Nothobranchius furzeri: one gene and its partners. The protein of the gene in region 1 purifies or fractionates together with the protein of each later gene. This does not show direct contact. Links are inferred from orthologs where the notes say so. Each region holds a gene or a part of one and is shown in the gene's direction. Other genes may lie near its edges.

Region 1 (4,107 bases):
CATCAGTCTGCTGCTCCTGGTTTGTGAAAGAACTCTATTGTAGCGTGGTGAGCTACTCCGGGCTGAGGAAACTTTCTGATGTTTTTAAAAACCCTCAACACCTCGGAGAAGTGGGTTTAAATGTTCGGAGAGTTCGGGGGAGCCCACGGGCTCGTTCCGACCCGGTCCGCTCCGCCTGTTTTGTTGGATAAATGAAGAGTTAGCATCAAGCATGTAGATGTCGGAAGATGCTGCAGCTAACCAGGAGCAGCCCTCTGGTAGCGGGTCTGCCACTGACCTCTGCCAGGTCTGCCCCAGTAGCACAAAGACAGAATGGATACCCCCCACCCCCCCACACCTCGTCTCCACAACGACAACGACCGCCCCCCCCCTTCCGCAGATAACGCCTCAGCGCCTCAAATCCATTACAGCAAGCGAGTGTTGTCACCGTGGAAAACTGGCTGCTCACCTTCCTGAACAGGCTGGACGCACCGCGGCGGAGAAAACGGTTCCCAAAGTCCCTGTAGTCCACAAAACCCAAACACTGGCTGCCCGGTGCTTTGACTTGCTGCTGCTGGAGAACGTACCGAAGCCAGAACGCCACTGTCAAGGCAGCGACTGTTACTGTGGAGTTTCCGGTGTTGACTGCCAAAATAAAAGCTCTGGCGGTAATTATAAAGATAAAAAGGAATATATATATATATATATATATATATATATATATATATATATATATATATATATATATATATATATATATATATATATATATATGACATGGGATCAGACCTCTGAGAATCATAAAAATGTTGGATATCATTTCTACTTTAGTTTTATCACATCCTGTCACATTACTATACACAGCTCTGACAGTGGAATGCATCGTAAATTGTTGTATTACATTTGAGAATGATTTATCATTTGCACCTAAGAAACAAGTTATAAGCGCCAACACTTCCGGTCTGTGGTAAGTGCGCTCCACCGCGTGTGCGCTGGGATAGTGTGTGTGTCCTGATTTTGCAGGCTTTGATGAGATGTGATTAGAAATAGCTCACAATAAAATAACCTCAAACAGCTCACGTGAACGAAAATTTCTATTTTGATCCATAAAACCGTCCGCAGTCGAATTATTCACAAACTCTCACGTCTGGATCGGTCTGGATGGACAGCAAATAATAATTTTAAAACTTTCATAAAATTCTAATAATATAAAAATAAAATATATGCTAATTTGTCCACTTGTAGGAATCCCGTACTGTCACCGTTATGGACGTTTGTGTGACCACAGCGGAACTAATAATTGGGAAATGTTTTCCTAGCCGTACTGAAGCGGACAGTAACTCCTGAACAGACGCCTTTGGTCAACGTACCATACTGCGCTGTGCTAACGCTTCAGCAGCAACCCTGAACAGTCTTCATTAAACTCTTGAGCATTTTGTAAACGATGGAGTCGATTTTGGAACAACAGCGTCGCTACCACGAAGAGAAAGAGAGGCTGATGGACGCAAAAACTAAAGAAATGTTGCACAAAAAGACCACGGTAAGCAGCGCAGCTTTTAGCATTAGCATGTTGCTAACACCAACGCAATGTTCACGTATTTGTTTTCGACTCTTGTTTCAGCTGCGGGATCAAATTAATTGTGATCATCGAATAAGAGCCATGTTGGATGTAAGTATGAAATGCTGCTCTTCCACCAGTGAGCTAAATGTTGTTTGGTGGTGTAGTTTTTTCCGTCGTGTTAAGTAATAGAGTCAATAACAATCATTGTGCTTAAGATCTGAATTTTATGAATCATTGCAATCGATGTTGTTCTGATTTGTTAAATGTAATATAGAAGTTATATCAGAAAATAAAGCTTATTTGTTGTTGGGTAAAGTTGCTTTTATTTTTATTGAGTTACCTGTAATGCTTGGTTCCTGCCTTGGTCGTCATTCACTTTTAGTGTAACTTTGGTGAATTTTCACCATCCATCCATCCATCGTCTGAACCCGCTTGGCCACGTAGGGTCGCGGGGGGGGGGGGACTGGTGCCCATCTCCAGCGGTCAATGGGCAATCAGGCGGGGTACACCCTGGACAGAGTGCCAGCCCATCGCAGGGGACTTTCACTGAATTTTCACTAATAGTATCCAAACGTTTAGAGAAGTAAATCAAAACCTCAGGTTGATCACTGCTGCTCTTTTAATCTGAAGTTCTCCTCATTAAAATGCAGTGAAACCAGAGGGCTTTACTGACACATCCAGACTTCATACACAAAACCCAACAGGTGGTACAGAGGGAGGATTGATCCTGCCAACGCTTACATTAAATTAAGAAAGGGCAAAAAAAAAAAGTAATTCAATAAATGAGGAAATACAATTGAAGATAACACACTTGGAGTTAAATGAATACAATTATTAATTTCCACATCTATTTTTTTAATACATTTCTTCATTTATATTCCTCACACTTCCTGTGGTATATGGTGATGAGGTGAATTAAAGTTAAAGTCCCACTAGTTGTCACACTGATGTGTGACATTGTTCTCTGCATTTGACCCACCCCCGGCAGTCCTCCAAAGGTTGTTGGAGACACGGCAGCACTCGGGAGCTATTTGGTGGTTTAACCCCCGATCCAACCCTTTAAAGCTTAGTGCCAAGCAAGGAGGCATTGGTTCCTGTTTTTCGAATCTTAGGTGTGACTCGACCGTGGATTTGAATCCCGATATCCCAGTCCCAGGGCAGACACTCATACTAATAGCCCACCTAATAATTGCATCATGTATTTCTATATGTACTTTCAATTTTATAACCAGTTATTGTCAATTTTGGTGGGATCAGACCTCCATAGGTTGATTTTTAAAATGTTTTAAATAATTTTAAGAATCACATTTAAACATGATCCTGAATGAAAGCGTATGTCGTGGTTGAATAAAATACTTGATCAGCTCAGTGCAGTGTGCTGGTTGCTTCTAAAGGTAATGTGCTTTATTTAACAATCTGATGTTTATTTAGATCTTCTCAGATCTAACAGAACTATGATGACATCTGAATCAGTCTGATATTTCTACCTGGAGATTCTAAGAAGCAGAATTTGTCAACTGATCTCACACACAGCTTAACCCAAAGTCTTAGATCCGGAGGGCATTATGCACATAGGGGTTGGGGTGCTCGGAGCGCCCCAACCCCTATGTGCGTAATGCCCTCCTCCCCTTTTCATCTAATGATCGTGGTTAAAAGGAAATCCTCCAGAATGCTGCAGAATCTGTGTCTGCTTTTTTTTTCCTGAGCGGTAAGTCTTGTGTGAGTGCATGCTTGCATGCACGCGCGAGTGTGCCTGCGCTAGTTAACAACTCGTTTTTAGATTGAGAAACTCCGACAGCACACGCGGAGGGGTTGAGGGGGGTGCGGTCTACCACTGCCTCAGTGCCGCTCTCCCGGTTCGCCAGGTGACGCCTCTTTCAGAAGCGTTTTTCTAACAGGAAATGTGGATGAAATGCGTCTCCAACCAGGCATTGACCCTCACTTTAAATAGTATTCTAGAGCTAGGTGTTGTCAAGCTATGTGTTACCATGGTAATTTAGAGCCAAGTCTATTACCATGATGATCTAACAGTGAGTCAGTGTTGGCTAGTTTAATGTCATCTGTTGTCATGTTCTGTGTCTCCTCACAGAGGTATATGGAAGTGAGTGCAAATCTCAGGGACTCTTATGAAGACAAAGATGGGTACGTTTTAATTTTTTTAAATATATTCAATGTACTTTTTTTTTTTGCTTGTTAGAGTTAAGCTGTTGTCTCTTTCTGTTACCCATTGTTTACTCAGGTTTGTTTTCCTGACAGTAAAAAAAATCTAAATATATAATTACATTTTTATTCTGGCCTATCAGAAGCGTTGGTATCCCATTCCACGGCTTTTGTTGCTACTTCTTTTATTAAATATATTAAATATTAAAGTCCAATGGCTCTATTTATAAAACTTTGTTTGGATCCTTTACTAAAAAAATTTACTTGCAGAAATAAAAAATTGGACCCATAAAACACTGCGTACATATAGCTGTACACAATTCCTGCTTTATCTAACTCTACCTAGAAATGTGTTCAGGTGATTTTGGATCACATCCCGCCTCCCGCACACCCACTGCTACCATTAT
Region 2 (4,133 bases), on another chromosome or scaffold:
CCACTGACGATTCTCAAAGCCGATGTCCAGCGGCGCCGCTCGTCCAGCTGAAGGCTGAACCAGAGGAGAGAGAGAGTAAGTGAAGGCTCTTCAAATTTGGTTTAAAGGTCATTTTTGATCATTGTTGTGTGACTGGGTTGTGTCTCTGTAGTCGTTAGAGTGCAGGTGAAGGTGGAGGAGATGGAGACCCTTATCAACCCCCCAGACCAGCCTCAAAAAGTCTCGCAGTGTGAAGTGAAACAAGAGAAGGCCGAGCAGATGATCCAGTCGGGACATCAGGTGCCAGAGCAGAGCCCACTGGCAGACATGATCCATCAGACCGCAGAGAAAAGAGAAACAGCAGAAAATGGAGGCGAGCATAAAGGACAAGCTGAGCGGAGTTAAAAAAAGACAAACCCCAGAAAAAAGGAGGCCAGAAAATGGGAGGAGCATGGAAGAGATGTGGGAAAACAACACAACAAGACACTGCAGGAGGAGCTGAACCGATGGAGATATAAGCGGCTGCTGTAGATGACGTTCTGAGATGGTAACAGATGTGAATCAAAAGACGGCTGGAGCTATGTCTCATGAATCTCTGCTGTTTATAAACTCTCAGACCCTCCGACCCAAAAAGAGAGTTCAGAACTGTCTCGCCTCCCCCAAGGTCACCCTAGCTACACCCAGTTCCTCAAAAGCTTTTGTTAGTGATCAAGTCATTGTTTTTGTTTCGTTATCAGATTTGTTTTTGTGAGCAAATATCCAGTCGGGAGTAAGAGTCAGACCAGTAGGTGAACAGATGAAAACCGGCTGATCCTGGCTGCATAGACCAGGAGCCGGTATGGCAATGTGGACCTGTTTCACTAGTTAGACTAATTCACTGGCTGGTCATATTAGCCAAGTTAACTGTTTTAATGTTTGTTGGTATAATTCTGTTAAAGAAGAACTCACAGTGGTCATTGTAATGATTTGAAACTGACAAAAGTAATAAATATATACTGAAAATCCATCTTGGCTTTTGATTAGTGGTTAAACAACAACTGAAAAGAAAATAATAAAATGGACCTGGATAAAAATGTTCCCTATTCTTCATTATTTGTTGTTGAACCTTTTGAGACAGTGTCAGCAACCCAGGGATTTTTGTAATTTTATTAACTTTGCTGCTGTTCTATGGTAACTCAGAGACATTGCAGCTCGTATCAGGATGAGGCATCACCTCTGGAGCAGAGGGATAAAGAATTTTAGTGAACATAAAACTTGGAAATTTGTTTAAATTCTGGGCTAATGACAGCATTTTCACCCAATGTCCTTGTTTATTTGAAACCCGTTTTTTAAGAGTGTAGTTACAAGGTGAAGGCACTAGGTGGTGGTAGCGACTCAACTCGACACTTGCACGCCGGTCAAAGGTTAAAACTGAATTACGTTCGGCCGTCGTTGGTTAGCTGAAAATGGCTAAACATCACCCAGATTTGATCTTCTGTCGAAAACAAGCGGGTGTCGGTATGTTTCTTTACTTTATGTCGTTCGGTACCTTTGAAACTACACAGATATATCAGAAACACGTTTGATTTGCGCCATGTGTTAGCTGCTAAGCTAACTGTTAGCATAAATACTGAAATGAGTAGCGGAGCTGGACGTGTCTTTACGGTTTTCATCTCTGTTGACACTAACAATTTTATGGTTTTTAAACCCGTTTAACTGAGTATTGAACATAGAGAAGTACAAATTTATCGTTTATCCTGAAAATTGAAACGTTTAATTGAACGACTGTTCTGTTTTCCTCCCGCAGCTATCGGGAGACTTTGCGAGAAGTGTAAGTGTCTCCACTTTTAACACGTTTACTGTAAAGTCTATTTCTGTTATAGGTTTTCCTCTAGAACGTTGTGCTTTTGGCTAATTCTAACCCAAAGATCTAGCTGATTTCCTTGGAGTAAAGGCGGCTAAAAAGAACCAACCATCATAAACGCTGTTAAACCTCTAGATTTTATTTATAGGCACTTTAAAAACACCCACCTTATAAAAAACCATGCCAATGTAAAATCCGTAATGAATTTTAAAGTCAATGCAATGTAAATTTAAGCAGCATTTTTAAAATAATCAAACATAAATTTAGATAAGAGAATTTGAAAATGATCTGAGGTGTCAACAAGGAAAAGGAAGACGAGGCCTTAGGGTGGAGGTGGAGATATGCAGGTCATCGTTAGGATTTTGGATATCGAGGACAAAGACTGGGATTGGTCTTGAAAGTGAGGCAGAATCCTGTGATGATGCAAAATTGGGATGGCAGCATATATCATATGCTACACGTGGCAGAGCTTTTGACTGACTGATGTCTTTAAAGATGAGGAGCCAGCTGAGGTGGGTTGGGAATTTGGTATGGATGTCCCCTGGACTCCACCTAGGGGAAGCGTTTCAGGCATGTCCTGCCAGCAGGAGGCTCCAGGTCGACCTGCGACACATTGGAGGTACCTCCACTTTGGGCAAGGCACACCTGGGGATCCTGCTGGAGGAGGTCTTCAGAAAGAGGCAAGGTTGGGTATCTCTGCTGGGGCTGCAACCCCCGTGACCCAGACTCATATGCAGGTAAAATCTGGTGGTCATTTACAGTAATCAGGGTCCAGATGTATGGCTGTAAGTGAAGAAAACATATTTTCTACACAGACCGTGCAAACATGAATCACCTTTAGACAGTACATGCTGGACATGAGGAATAATAACGAGGTCACAACCCAAACCAAGATGTTCACCAGACTGAAACTAGTCTGAGAGAAGTTAAACTCTCAACACTGAACTTCACTAAAACTAGTTTCTCCATCCACTGAGTTCAGCGTGTCCCAGCTGGGACAAAAGAGACAACAGAAGAATGTGTTAACAGAAATTTTCAAACCTGTGGACATCCTGTCTGGACACTTGCCAACTTAACCAGAAAATCTGGAAAAGCACCCGACAGGAAAATTTTAAAGTTATTGCAAATGTTGCAGGATTATCAAAGAAACTCCAAACGTGGCATTCTGGTGCATTGGAGTCCAGATGGGACCCTGAGACAGAAGTTGGTTTAGGTGAAGGACACGAGCTGAGCAGAGTCTGCACCTGTACACACAGATCAAGGCTCAGATTTAAATCTGAGAAAGATGTCACTTCCACATTTTGCTTTGAGAAAAGTCAATGAAGCCATTAGGTCGAATAGGAAAAGTCGCAGTTAAACAGATCTCCGGTTTCACTTATCCAACACCTCCAGTGCAGCTTTGGCTCCTCTCCCACTTCGTTTCACAACCACTCACACTTAAAAACACGTGACTGAAACTCTTCCTAACGTTCCAAACACTCACAGAAGAGACGGCGGGTCAGTCTTGTGATTGTTACAGTTACCTAATAAGATCAGAAGCACTTTCACTTTATTAGTAAATGTAGAAATAATTATTGTTCCCATCACCAGCTTAGTTTCTCTTCCTCTTCCAGGTGATGGGAAGTGTGTGATCTGCGACTCTTACGTGCGACCGTGCACGCTGGTGCGTATTTGTGATGAGTGTAACTACGGCTCCTATCAGGGGCGCTGTGTGATCTGCGGAGGTCCCGGCGTGTCTGACGCTTACTACTGCAAAGAGTGCACCATCCAGGAGAAAGATGTGAGTCCTCCTCTCGTACGCCCAGCTGTGTCTGCAGGAACGTCTCTAAATATTTTGTTCCTCTCTGCAGCGAGATGGCTGTCCCAAGATCGTAAACCTGGGCAGCTCCAAGACAGATCTGTTCTATGAAAGGAAGAAGTACGGCTTCAAGAAGAGGTGAAGACAGGAGAAACACCGAGTTCATAGTCGTTTTTTTTTTTTCCAAAAACTTTTTCTTAATAAAATGTTTTTTCTATTTCTGTCTTCATGTTTTGTGACTGGAAAAGATAATTGGTGAACATGAATCAGATGGAATACTCAAATCTTTTCATTAAACATTTTCAAATTAGCCTAAGCCTGTTAGTTTTATTAAACCTTATTAGATCATGTAAACGTTTAGCAGCAAGCTGTAGAACTGAGTGAACCCAGTCTACTAGTCCCACTTCTCTCTTACCATTTCTATTTATTATAACGTGTCAAAGGACACGCCCTTTTTCAGGAATATGGCTAGGAAATTTTCACTTCAATTAAAGTTTATATAGCGCCAAATCA
Region 3 (4,184 bases), on another chromosome or scaffold:
ACGTCACTTCCTTCTCCGTTTATCCGTGGGCAGCAGAGGACGGGAGTAAGGGACCCTAAACATTAACACATATAGGAAACCAACACACACAGACCAATATCTATTATGGACATCAGAACACCCCACCATATACAAAATGTCAGTAATCAGAACATTATATCACCGAGCAAACATAATAACAGAAGAAAGAGACCGTAAACAAGAGGACAAACACATACAACATGCTTTAAAGACCTGCGGATACCCGACATGGGTAATAAACAAAGGAAAACAACAAACAACAACAGAAAGAAAAAAACAACCAAAGCAAAGAACCAGCAACCCAGAAAGCCAAGAACCAAAACCAGTGATAACCCTACCATACATTAAAGGCATAACAGAAAAAATAAGAGCAACAATGAAAAAACACAACATAAACACACCAACAAAACCATACACAACAGTTAGAAACAGACTAGTACACCCAAAAGACAAAATACTAGCTGGACTTAAATGTGGAGTCATTTACAAAATCCCATGCAAACTCTGCAATAAAACATACATAGGAGAAACCGGACGCCAACTCAACACACGAACAATAGAACATAGAAAGGAGTGCGAGAAAGAGGCAAGTCGAAAACACACAAGAGCAGCAAAAGAAGAAGCAGAAATCACAATAAAGAAGTCAGCCGTAACAGATCACTGCACAAGAGAAAACCATATAATGGACTGGGACAACACAAGGATCATAAACACCGAACAACAAAAATACAAAAGATGAATAAAAGAAGCTACCGAGATAAGGTGACGTGGATGTGGGACCATGAACAGGGACGATGGAGTTTACACGTTGGACCGCGCATGGGACTGCATCGTCGGAGAGGGGAGAGCGGGCAGCAGAGGGCGACAACATCCTCTGCTGCTCACGGATAAACAGAGAAGGAAGTGACGCCACCATCAGCGTCAGCCTGAGGAAGTTTGCAGCTGCAAACGAAATGTAGCGGGAAAACAGGTAAACAAAACTGTTTAAAAAAGAACTACAGCATGGAATTACAGGTTGCTGCTTTATTCATTTGCTGCTAGGCTATTCACACATATTTAAACAACTTAGCCCTGTTACCTTTTCCTTTAAATAAATGCAGCAAAAGCTTAGATTTTTTTCAGCATTTTCTCAGTCTGCCAACTTGGAGAAGTTTTACCAAACTGTGAAACTCCAGTAGGGAGACGAGCTGCAGCTCCTTAACAGGGACTTTTTATTGGGAAATATACTAAATTTAACATCTTATTGGCACAAATCTAATCCCATATACTCAACACCTACCTATGCACTGATGAGTGATCCAGCTCCACTCCAGGTGGGGCGCTGTAGCACCACTATTTACCACTGACTCGTCCTCGGACAAACCGGAAGTAGAAGAAGCTCTTGTTCTGGCGGCAGCGTGGAATACGTTAGCGTTTACCTCTCTGTGAAACTGTTTAGTTTGCTGTAGAAAGGTTACAAAAGCCCAAGTTCGTGTCCGACATGGTGAAGCTGTCTGCGGAGCTGATTGAGCAGGCTGCTCAGTACACCAACCCTGTGAGAGACAGAGAGCTGGATTTACGAGGTAAACTCGGGCCTTTACCCACGGCTAACTGACTAGGTTAGTGTTGTGTGTGTGTGTGTGTGTGTTTGTGTGCTAACCAGTGTTAGCTCTGCTTTATCTTTAGGTTATAAGATCCCAGTGGTGGAAAACCTCGGAGCTACTCTGGACCAGTTTGACACTGTAGATTTCTCTGATAATGAAGTGAGAAAACTGGACGGCTTCCCTTTGCTAAAGAGGCTGAAGACGCTGCTGATGAACAACAACAGGGTCTGGTAAGTCCCACTGCTCTGTGTGTCACCATGGTCCAGGTCTGCCCCTGAGCTGCACAGGTAGGGTCTGGATGATGGAGACGAGTAGGATCTGGGAACACTTCATGTTGATCCATATCAGTAATTATCGGAAATGTAGAAAATGTATTTTAAGTAACGTACTGGCCATCTTGTGCTACTCCTTAGTTAACTACCTTCAGTAAAGAACACACACTGTTTATTTAAACAGATGTTTTACTAGGATGCAGGTTTTCCAAGATTTGTTTAACCGGGTGTTGATGCCCCTCAACACAATCATTTGCCCCTGCTTCATAAATAACACTTTATATATAAGTCTGAGGCACAACTAGAGTCCCACACCCGTTACATTTGTGATCTAGTAAAGAGACAGTGGGATGACAGCTGAAATGTCCGTCAGACCTCTGGCATCCATTACTCAGAAGAGCATTCTGGAGGCCACGTTTTTAAAAACCACTTTAGCTTCCTTATATTGAACTAAATAATTTGACATTTATGTTGCTAGACTAATTAGGAGTCAGACGCAAGCAGCAGCGTCACGGCCGCCTGACCTTTTGCTGGTCACTCTTCAATGTGCTGTAGATTAAAACATTGGCGTAATCTGCGTTTAGTTGAGACGACGTCGGTGTGATGCAGCTGCTGTCAGGAAGACGTGTAGAACGGTACGACTCTGCATCAGTGGGGTCTGTAGTCACCCGCTCCAACATTTGCATACTTTTTGCTGCTAAAGTAATCTTTTGGAATAAATATTTAAAATGAAATATCAGTTTGAGTTTCTGCAAAATGAAAATAATTTTTTACCACGAGGTTTAGACGGTCCCTCTGCTCAGTGAAAAGCCAGCCCTGACAAAATGATTAAGTTATCAGGGATCGTCATATGAGAGTAATTCACAGAAAACCAAACATGAAAGTATGTGAAAATACTCCAGAATAGTGCAGTCATCCTTAACAAGTTATCGATGTGGTCTGATTAAATGTGTAGAAAGAGCTGCGGCGTCATCTCGGCTGGTTGCTTGAAGACTTTAATAAACCACTGCTAAAGGTAAAAACGCTGCTCTGACTCTTCAGTGCAGCAGAAGTGTTGGTTTTATGAAATTACCTCATCACCTGTTTCTGCTCCAGCGTCCTTAAATCTTCTGGTGCCCCGATCCATTTACTGGGTTTGTTTTAAACACAAGGCTAGTAGCATACAGGAGCCGATTCTGACCAGAAAAAAGTATTAGGGAATAGAAGAGACTTTATTGTTATTGTACAGCGACATTGGAGTGCCACTCCCTTTGGTGCAATTTGTAAAATAATACGGAATAAAATAAACGTAAAATCAACAGTAATATTTACAAATGTATAGAAAGAGTAGCAGCATCAGTCAGGTTCTGTGCAGGTTAAGCAGAATTTTAGCATATTGAGTAAACACTAATAGTAAGAGTAAACGTGTGGCTCGGGTTTACAGGCTCATCTGGTTTTGTGGTCGTTTGCTACTCTGGTAGCTCTGGGAAAGAAGCTATCCCTGGTTTTATGTGACCTGCACCATCAGCCTGACGGTAACGGGTCAAACAGATGGTTACTGGGGTGAGAGTAGTCCTCGATGTTCCTGCTCTACTGGGGTAATGAGAGTTGGCAATGTGCTTCAGGCTGGGCAGAGAGCATCCAGTGGTCTTCTGGGCTGTGCTGATGACCCTCTGCAGTACTTTCCTGTCTGCAGCTGAGCACCCTGCATACCATGTTGTGATGCCGTACGCTTGGATGCCCTTTGTGGTGGCTCTGTAGAATGTGACCAGCAGCCTCTCCTCCAGGTCGTTCCTTCTGAGCACTCTCATGAAGTTTTTACCACCGCTGTGGTGTTTGCAGTCCAGGAGAGATCATCAGAGATCTGCACGCCCAGAAAGCTCACGGAGTGCACCCTCTCCACACAGTCCCCGTGAATGTAAAGTAAGGCCGGGTCGGCCCTGCCCTTCCTGAAGTCCAAGATAAGTTCTTCAGTTTTTGTGGTGTTCAGTTGGAGGTTGTTTCCTGAACACCACACAGTCAGTCTGTTGACCTCATCTCTGTAGTCCCACTCATCCCCCCTTGAGATGAGTCCAACCACAGTGGTGTCATCCACAAACTTAATGATGGTGTTTGAGAGATGGGTCGGGGAGCAGTCGGATGTGTAAACGGGAGGGGACTCCGAACACATCCTTGTGGAGCGCCGGTGCTGGAGAGGTGGGGGCCGAGTCTGACAGACTTTGGTCTGTTTGTCAGGAAGTCCTTAATCCAGATGGGGGTGGAGAGTCCCAGGCGAGACAGTTTCTGGACCCGGATCTGTGGGATGGTGTAACTGAGCGCATTCTGACAT
Region 4 (3,512 bases), on another chromosome or scaffold:
TCTTTTTTATTTTTAATCACTGTTTTTTTCATGACAGTATTGGAACTGACACTGTTGCTATTTTTTTAACACCGGCTGTATACGGTAATACCGCCCAAGTCTAACAACCTGGTGTTAATCAGTAATTATTCCAGCACCAGAATTGGTTAATTATTTTGGATTTTACTTGAATATTCCACTTTTTACCCAGGAGCTTTGTTTTCTTCTACTTGATTTACGCAGCTGGTTCCTGCTAAAACTGTCAGTACATTAATATTTTTCTACATATTTGAGACAAACTACTGTAAAAGCAGGTGTTTTTTCACTTGTTTGGGGATTCACTTGATTTTAAGGCAGCAACATATGATTGTTTTAGTAACAGAAGTTATTCTCAAAATAAAGAATGGTTCAGGATTTGAAGGAAAAGCAAGTTGTTGTTATTGGACCACATTTCGGTCCCAAATAATCTGATGGAGTTTTGTTTTTGATCCTTTTAAAAACCTATGAATGCAACCTTATGCTTCATTTTTCTCATATGAACTACTTTTTGCAAATTAACAGAAAAATAAAGAACGGACATTCTGGTATATTTCTAAACCAGAACCAGGGTCATTTTTACAGCAATATAATTAGTTCTTTCTATTTGCCTAAAGACAGAACTGAAGTTTGTACATTTTTAATCATTTCTCCTGAACAAAATTATTAAAAATGTTTCTTCCAAATCAAATCAAATCAGACTTTGTTATCAGAGCTTTTATCATAAGAAAACCACCAAAAAACCTCTCCTGTTTCTTTATGTTTATAATTTTAGCAGATGCTTTTGTCCAAAGTGACTTGCATCTGGAATGAGGCTAATGTAAGAAAACAATATGTTGGAGACACACACACACACACACGCACACGCACGCACGCACGCACGCACACACTACACACACACACACACACACACACACACACACACACACACACACACACACACACACACACACACACTTATCACAGCTGTAACAACAACAATTGATTTGTTAACAAACATTTGTTGCTTCATCCGTTTTAAACAGTTTTTCGGCTTGTCTGGTGGTATTCTTACTGCAGTTAATCAAAGTATTACACTGATATGACAGGATCACTGAGTGCCCTGGTGTTGTGCTAAATTATCCTTAGTTGTATGTTATTTTCATACTTTTTCTTTTCATGTCAGGTATGGGTGGAGCAGCCATCGCCCCTCCTTCATCACTTGTAGACAAAGACGGTAAGTATAATGAATAGGGTTGGACCATTACCAGCATCAGGGATCTGCCCTGAAGAAGAAGAAACGATCTTTTCTATAGCGCCTCTCAAAAATCACGAGGCGATTCACAAAAACAAAAAATTTAAAATATAAAAAAATAATTTAGAAACTGATTCAAAATATGTTTAAAATAAGCAAAAATAGACAATTGGGATTTAAAAGAAACTATGTAAAGAAAGAGAGAGTGAATAGGAAAGAGGGAAATCAGTGAATCTCGAGGAAGGTGGAATACGGTAGGTGGGGAGAGCAGAATAAAGAGAGAGTGGTGAAGAAGGTCATACAAAAGCCAGCTTGAACAAGTGAGTATTCAGCTGCTTTTTAAAGGAGACCACTGAGTCCACTGATCTCAGGCTCAGGGGGAGAGAGTTCCAGAGTCTGGGGGCCACAGCAGCAAATGATCTGTCACCTTTGGTCTTTAGCCTGGTGCTGCACAACCAGTAGGCTTTGGTCACTGGACCTCAGGGACCTGCTGGGGGTGTAGGGACTAAGAAGATCACCAATGTAAGATGGTGCTTGTCCATGTAAGGCCCTATAGACCAGAACCAGGATCTTGAAATGAACCCTGAAGTTGACTGGCAGCCAGTGAAGCTGGAGGAGAAGTGGGGTGATGTGGGTGTGTTTGGAGGACTTGGTCAGAAGCCGAGCACAGGCATTCTGAACCACCTGTAGACGGTTCAGGGAGGTTCTGCTCAGACACGTGAAAAGAGAGTTACAGTAGTCTAAGCGTGAGGAGAGGAAGGTGTAAATGACAGTCTCAAGTTCTGAGCAGGACAGAATGGGACTCAGCTTAGCAATGTTCCTGAGATGGAAGAAGGAAGAGTGAACAAGAGAACTGACATGAGAATCCAGGGTGAGAGCTGGGTCAAAGGTCACGCCAAGATTCCTGACAGAAGGTTTGGTGTGGGAAGCAAGCTGACCAAGAGAGTCTCTGACTTTGGGAACCAGCTTGCCTGGGGCACAGATGAGGAGGTAGCTTTGTTCTATCATCATTCCCGTTGACGTGCATGTACACAGCTATTCAGATTGTTGGAGTAAAATAATACCCACTGCCTATGTGTGCAACATCTAGCGAGCCTCCCTGCTGTCATTTGGACTACCTGACTTAAATAAATGATGGCCTAATTAATGAGCTCCAGTTTTTAAATATGTGCTGGTGAAGGTTCTCAGTCATCCAGATCATGGTAATCCAAAGGTTTCAAATGAAGGCAACTGGACTTCTTTGGTTTCTTGGAGAGCAAACAAAGAAGTCGATATCCGTTAACAATATTGCTGTATGGCCGAAAACTGTTATTTACTGATATTGATGGTTTTGTCAACATTTATCTTCTGAAATCAGCAGAATTTGTATGGACTAAAAAGGCTGAATGTTTGAATGTAAAGTGCAAAAGTACAAACTAGATTTCATATCTAGTTTTCTAATCTGAAACCAGGGTCAAATTGATCCAAATGAGAGATGAATCCAGACCAAACGCTGCCTCAGTTAATGCAGCAGTCGTCCAGCAGAGGGCAGCATTGGCCTAGAAATAAAGACCTGTAAAACAGATGTATTTTTTTTAATGATTTTACATCATCATTTTCATTAAACAAACATGTTAGAATTCTCCTTATCAAAGGGAATAATTGTGTCTTTATAAACTGTTTAGGTTCTTCGTATACTTATGAAGATGAAGGTCGTCCTGCCAGAGGCTCCAAGGCAGCCATTCCTCCACCCATGTATGAAGACTCCGATCGGCCCCGTTCGCCTCCTTTACCAAGTAGCTCCTTCCTGGCAAACATGGGGTGGGTCAGCCATTTGAGTTTAAACTTTTAAAACACTTCTAGTAGAAGGAAAAAAAAAAACTAAAATTGCCTTAATGGTGTACTTCAAACAGAGGTACGGTGGCCCATAAGATCATGCAGAAGTACGGCTTCAAAGAAGGTCAGGGTCTGGGGAAGCACGAGCAAGGCCTGAGCACGGCCCTGTCTGTGGAGAAGACCAGCAAAAGGGGCGGGAAGATCATTGTGGGCGACGCTGCAGAAAAACGTAAGTCGCGTTAGCGTATTTCTGCTCTTGATCCTACCTTTTTTTGCTTTTTCAACACCGTCTGCTTTAAATAATCTTCATGGGTCAGCTACTTGAAAACCTACTTCAGCTTGTTCTGTCAGCTGATACCAGCTTGTTGTCATGAACTGTGTTCATTTGTGTCTTATTTTGATATCGAGCCGTTATTTTCCAGTGACTTAGTGTATGTGTGTTTCATTG
Region 5 (4,271 bases), on another chromosome or scaffold:
CTCAGTGAGCTTTTGTTTTTGTTACCAGGGTTTTTGGATTTTTGGACTTTTGGCTCACTGCCTTTGGATTTATTTTTGTTCGTTCTACAAAATAAAGCATATTTACTTTACATCATCTCCAGCCTCGTGTCATCCTGGGTTTCTGCATATTTGTGTCCTAAACATCCTCAAAACGTGACATTAGAAAGGACTTGGTCCTGATGTTGCTGCTATGCAGGCGGTTTCTGATGGTAGAAAGGACTGTTTTCCTACTGAATGTAGTGTGCACATTTACCAAGGTGTCCTTTTTTAGGTGTTTCACGTGGTCTTGCTGGGGGGGTTAGAGTCTTTAGGGGACAGAGTTGAGTCAGAGCAGTGTTAAAGATGCATTGTTCATGTGATTTACACCTGGTCACGGCCTCGGTGAAGACCAGATGTGATGTTCATCTCCCAAGCTTCACCTTAGTGCCTGTTTGAGTGAAGCCCAGCATAAGCCAGTGCTGCAACATCCGTTACCATGGCAATAACCTTTTTCTTTTCCCTTTTTCTAATTCAGTTGTTTCGTTTGTGCATAAAAAAGGCTTTTAAAAAGTCTGCTGAGGTTTCAGAGGAAAATTAGTTGCAGTATCAGTGTTTTGTTTTTTATAAATATTAAAATTAAAGGTGCTGAAAAAACCTGATTGATGCTCAAATTACTCGAATAGGGAATAGTCTCCAGGTGTGCTACCGCATCCAATTTAAATTTTTACTTCTTGTTTTTAAGTAACTCTATCTTTATGCTCCTCTCTACTTGACTCAGCTGGTTCAGCCCTACGTACCTGGTCGAATTCTTTGGTCAGCAGACCTGTTACAGGTCCCAAGAGTTCGGGTGAGGACGCAAGGAGAACGAGCCTTCTCAGTCTGTGCGCCTCGTCTCTAGCAGTGACGGCTCATTTTTATTCCTTAGCTTTTACTTCAGCCTAGCTAGCATTTTACGATGTTTTTGTTTTGTCTTTATTGATTTTATAGTAGTTACTGTACTACTTTTATTACTTCTTCCAGTGTGTTGATTTTTATGCTCATTTACTGTGCAGCACTTTGGTTGGCCTCGGCCCTGTAAAAATGTGCTTTAAAAATAAAATGGAATGGAAATAGTGCTCCCTTCAATTCTGGAACCAACTGGTATGAAGAGCGAGAAGAACATTTTAGCCTAAATATTTTTTCATGTTTTAAAAAAAGTGCACTAACACTTGTTTGCTATACAGTTTTAAATGTTATTTTATTCGTATTCATTATATTGAAAGAAACTCTGGGATTTTTTTACTGAGTTGAGCTTAAGTATAGGTTCTGTTCAGTTCTTATGCATCTTCAGTTATCAGCCTCAGCAGCCAGTATTCAAATAGCATTTCTGTAAGAATGTCATTTTTCTATAGTTAGGATAATTGTTCCAGGCTGGTTGAGGTTCTTGTCCGCCGCTAGAGGGCAGCACCGTTATAAGGATGTATCTGTAGCCTAATTCCAAACCGGAAGTTCGATATATTTTTACCGTAGCCTCCATTTTGAAGTGAAAACAGCGTGTTTGTTGTTTATCTGCGTTATTTACACGAATTAAATCGTTACGATGGCTATGCAAGCAGCAAAACGTGCTAATGTAAGTGTAATGGAGCATATAAGGGGACAAAGGAAAGGCTAATGTGAAATGTAAGCTAGGTTTAGCTCTGAGGAAGCGTCTCAAAGAATTAGCGCACTACTAGCAGGTTAGCAAATTGAAAACAGTCCTCAAAACCTGAAATCTTCAAGCTTTATATTCACTTTAGTTATACTTACCATTTGAGGTCATGTGTTTTTTCATCTTTTGTTTTGTGAAGACATAATCCTCGTTGGGATATCGTCAGGCTAAGAATATTTGTTCCTTCCGGTACGGAAACAAGGATAAGCTAATGCATGTAATGATTAAAAGTAGCCATGTCTATTGTTAAGTGACTTACGTAGTCTTAAAAGGCCTCAGCTAGTAATCGTGTGTACTTATGTATCAGGTATTTGAGTTTTTACCCAGGTTAGTTTTGTTCCCTCTGAATAGTTTAATGATGTGTTTTAATGGTGTTGTAGATCCGATTACCTCCTGAGGTGAACAGAATCCTGTATATAAGGAATCTCCCCTATAAGATCACAGCTGAGGAGATGTACGATATCTTTGGAAAATACGGACCAATACGACAGATCCGAACGTAAGTTTTCAAAAAGTGTGTGTGTGTGTGTGTGTGTGTGTGTGTGTGTGTGTGTGTGTGTGTGTGTTATTATGAAGTCATTTTCAGAGTAAAAGAAAATTTTATGTAACAAAGCCAACTCTGCATTTAAAGCAGCCTTCACAGGATAAAAGCCACACATCGCTTCACGGTAAACATAAATAAAACAAATGTAAGTAAAACAGGTTTAAGTGTATTTAGAGAGCTCACGTTGAAGTAACAGTTAAGAGTCGTAGAGAAAGCAGCAAAGACAGAAAGAAAACGATCTTTTACGTAGCGCCTCTCAAAATAAAAATCACAAGGCGCTTCACAAACAAAACAACTAGAAAGATGTCAAAAAACGATTAAAAATATGTTTAAAATGAAGATAAGTAAATTGTGATTAAAAATAATAATGTAAGGAATGGGAGAGAGAAAATGAATAGGAAAGAGGGAAATGAGTGGATTGCTGGGAAAGGCGGAATACGTAGAAAGAGCCGAATAGGGAGAGGGTGGTGACGAAGGTCACACCAAAGCCAGCTTGAACTGGTGAGTTTTTAGCTGCTTTTCATAGGAGACCACCGAGTCCACTGATCTCAGGCTCAGAGGGAGAGAGCTCCAGAGTCTAGGGGCCACAGCAGCAGATGATCTGTCACCTTTGGTCTTTAGCCTGAAAAGAGATGAACACAGAAAAGGAGCCACCTTCATGGACGTTGTTTCTGCCTGGAGTTGATTGGTTTGTTGACACAAATTACATGACAAATCCCTTAAAGAGCAAATTGCAGGTTAGAGACTCCCATGAACCAATGTTTAGAGAAGCATAACAGAAACTCGGTTTAGAAGTTTTTTACACAGTAGAGACGGAGCTGCGCATCTGACCCCGGAAGTTGTTGCCCGTTGCCAGGAGACGAAGGCGGGCAAAACAGGAAAGGAATCTAGTAGCGGACGGACATTGTTCTGGGTCTTCGGTATTTGGTGGAGATGTTAGTGAAGGCGGAGAAGAGGGTGGACTAGAGGAAAAACAGGCAGGTTCCACCTCTATTTACAAACTCCTGGGGATGCAACAAGTGGGCGTGGTGCGTCGACCACCGGATCTGACGTCGACGAATTTTTAGAATCGAGCCGTCGACGTCATCGATGCATCGCTACAGCTCTACTGCGCATACCTGTAGTTATCGTCCATTTATCGTTATCGAGGTGAAATCCTCAATATATCGTGATATTGATTTTGAGCCATATCGCCCATCTCTAACCTAAAGGAAGACCCAGGATGCGCTGGAGGGACTACGTCTCTCAGCTGACCAGGGAACACCTTGGGATTCCCCTGCAGGAGCTGTGGAGGGAAGTCTGTGCCTCCCTGCTTAGGCTGCTGCCCCGTGACCCGACCCTGGATAAGCGGCCAGAAATGGATGGATGGATCAGCTAAGATAGTTTGATGGAAAAACAAAATTTGTTATTTTTGTTAACAACAAAAACTAGAGAGCGATCAGTTCACCTTTAATAAACATGGCTGCTGCTGCTTCAAGAGGGTCGGCTCCTTTCTGTAACACCGGTGTGTGAGCAGCAGACTCCTCCTAATATCCAGGCGGTGTCCTCTGGCTTCGGTGTGGAGTAGACCTACTTTAACTTTGAAACTTTTATGCTAGTCGCGTGTGTGAGAGCCCTGCTTTGGGTCTGGGACCCAGCACGTCCTTCTGTTATTCTGTGAGGTGGTACCAAAAAAAAAAAAAAGTCAAAAATGATCTTTTTCCCTCAATCCGTGTCATGTGATTTAGATACAGAGTCCCAATCCAATATTTCAGCAATCCATTAAATTAAGGAAAAAGTAGAAAACATCCAAGTTTTCCATTTTAGGTATTTTTATTATTTATTTGTAAGTTGGAACGGAATAGAAACGTTATCTGTCTAAACGGCTAGAGAAACTCGTCTTTTAAAAAGACACAACTTCCTGTTTCCATGTCATTTCCTCAGTTGAGCTGCTGAAACCATTCAGGAAGAATATTGATCAGAAACATGTTATTACTACAAATATGTTTAGTAATAGTCTCATTCCTTATTATTCAAATAGTTTAGAAAGTGTGTGGCTGC

What was found.
Region 2: the proteins of sf3a3 (region 1) and phf5a purify together in Homo sapiens (affinity purification with mass spectrometry; 3 studies listed by BioGRID and IntAct, with this or other methods). This does not show direct contact. The link is inferred for Nothobranchius furzeri from reciprocal best matches to the Homo sapiens genes SF3A3 and PHF5A.
Region 3: the proteins of sf3a3 (region 1) and snrpa1 purify together in Homo sapiens (affinity purification with mass spectrometry; 6 studies listed by BioGRID and IntAct, counting the BioPlex papers as one, with this or other methods). This does not show direct contact. The link is inferred for Nothobranchius furzeri from reciprocal best matches to the Homo sapiens genes SF3A3 and SNRPA1.
Region 4: the proteins of sf3a3 (region 1) and rbm17 purify together in Homo sapiens (affinity purification with mass spectrometry; 4 studies listed by BioGRID and IntAct, counting the BioPlex papers as one, with this or other methods). This does not show direct contact. The link is inferred for Nothobranchius furzeri from reciprocal best matches to the Homo sapiens genes SF3A3 and RBM17.
Region 5: the proteins of sf3a3 (region 1) and sf3b6 purify together in Homo sapiens (affinity purification with mass spectrometry; 3 studies listed by BioGRID and IntAct, with this or other methods). This does not show direct contact. The link is inferred for Nothobranchius furzeri from reciprocal best matches to the Homo sapiens genes SF3A3 and SF3B6.

Annotation. Positions count from the first base shown.
Region 1 is NC_091751.1:25,496,967-25,501,073, forward strand, and holds the start of sf3a3 (splicing factor 3A subunit 3), read left to right. Parts: upstream 1-1,297; 5' UTR 1,298-1,423; coding exon 1,424-1,519; intron 1,520-1,600; coding exon 1,601-1,648; intron 1,649-3,629; coding exon 3,630-3,682; intron 3,683-4,107. UniProt on the Homo sapiens protein: Component of the 17S U2 SnRNP complex of the spliceosome, a large ribonucleoprotein complex that removes introns from transcribed pre-mRNAs.
Region 2 is NC_091756.1:28,019,751-28,023,883, forward strand, and holds phf5a (PHD finger-like domain-containing protein 5A), read left to right. Parts: upstream 1-1,322; 5' UTR 1,323-1,424; coding exon 1,425-1,476; intron 1,477-1,765; coding exon 1,766-1,789; intron 1,790-3,435; coding exon 3,436-3,602; intron 3,603-3,672; coding exon 3,673-3,762; 3' UTR 3,763-3,837; downstream 3,838-4,133. Other genes in the region: l3mbtl2 (lethal(3)malignant brain tumor-like protein 2), read left to right, coding at 1-75, 152-384.
Region 3 is NC_091749.1:6,237,269-6,241,452, reverse strand, and holds the start of snrpa1 (U2 small nuclear ribonucleoprotein A'), read left to right. Parts: upstream 1-1,376; 5' UTR 1,377-1,501; coding exon 1,502-1,583; intron 1,584-1,686; coding exon 1,687-1,834; intron 1,835-4,184. UniProt on the Homo sapiens protein: Involved in pre-mRNA splicing as component of the spliceosome. Associated with sn-RNP U2, where it contributes to the binding of stem loop IV of U2 snRNA.
Region 4 is NC_091741.1:60,753,344-60,756,855, reverse strand, and holds part of rbm17 (splicing factor 45), read left to right. Parts: intron 1-1,180; coding exon 1,181-1,231; intron 1,232-2,913; coding exon 2,914-3,049; intron 3,050-3,141; coding exon 3,142-3,293; intron 3,294-3,512. UniProt on the Homo sapiens protein: Splice factor that binds to the single-stranded 3'AG at the exon/intron border and promotes its utilization in the second catalytic step. Involved in the regulation of alternative splicing and the utilization of cryptic splice sites.
Region 5 is NC_091742.1:17,814,870-17,819,140, reverse strand, and holds the start of sf3b6 (splicing factor 3B subunit 6), read left to right. Parts: upstream 1-1,460; 5' UTR 1,461-1,579; coding exon 1,580-1,609; intron 1,610-2,067; coding exon 2,068-2,186; intron 2,187-4,271.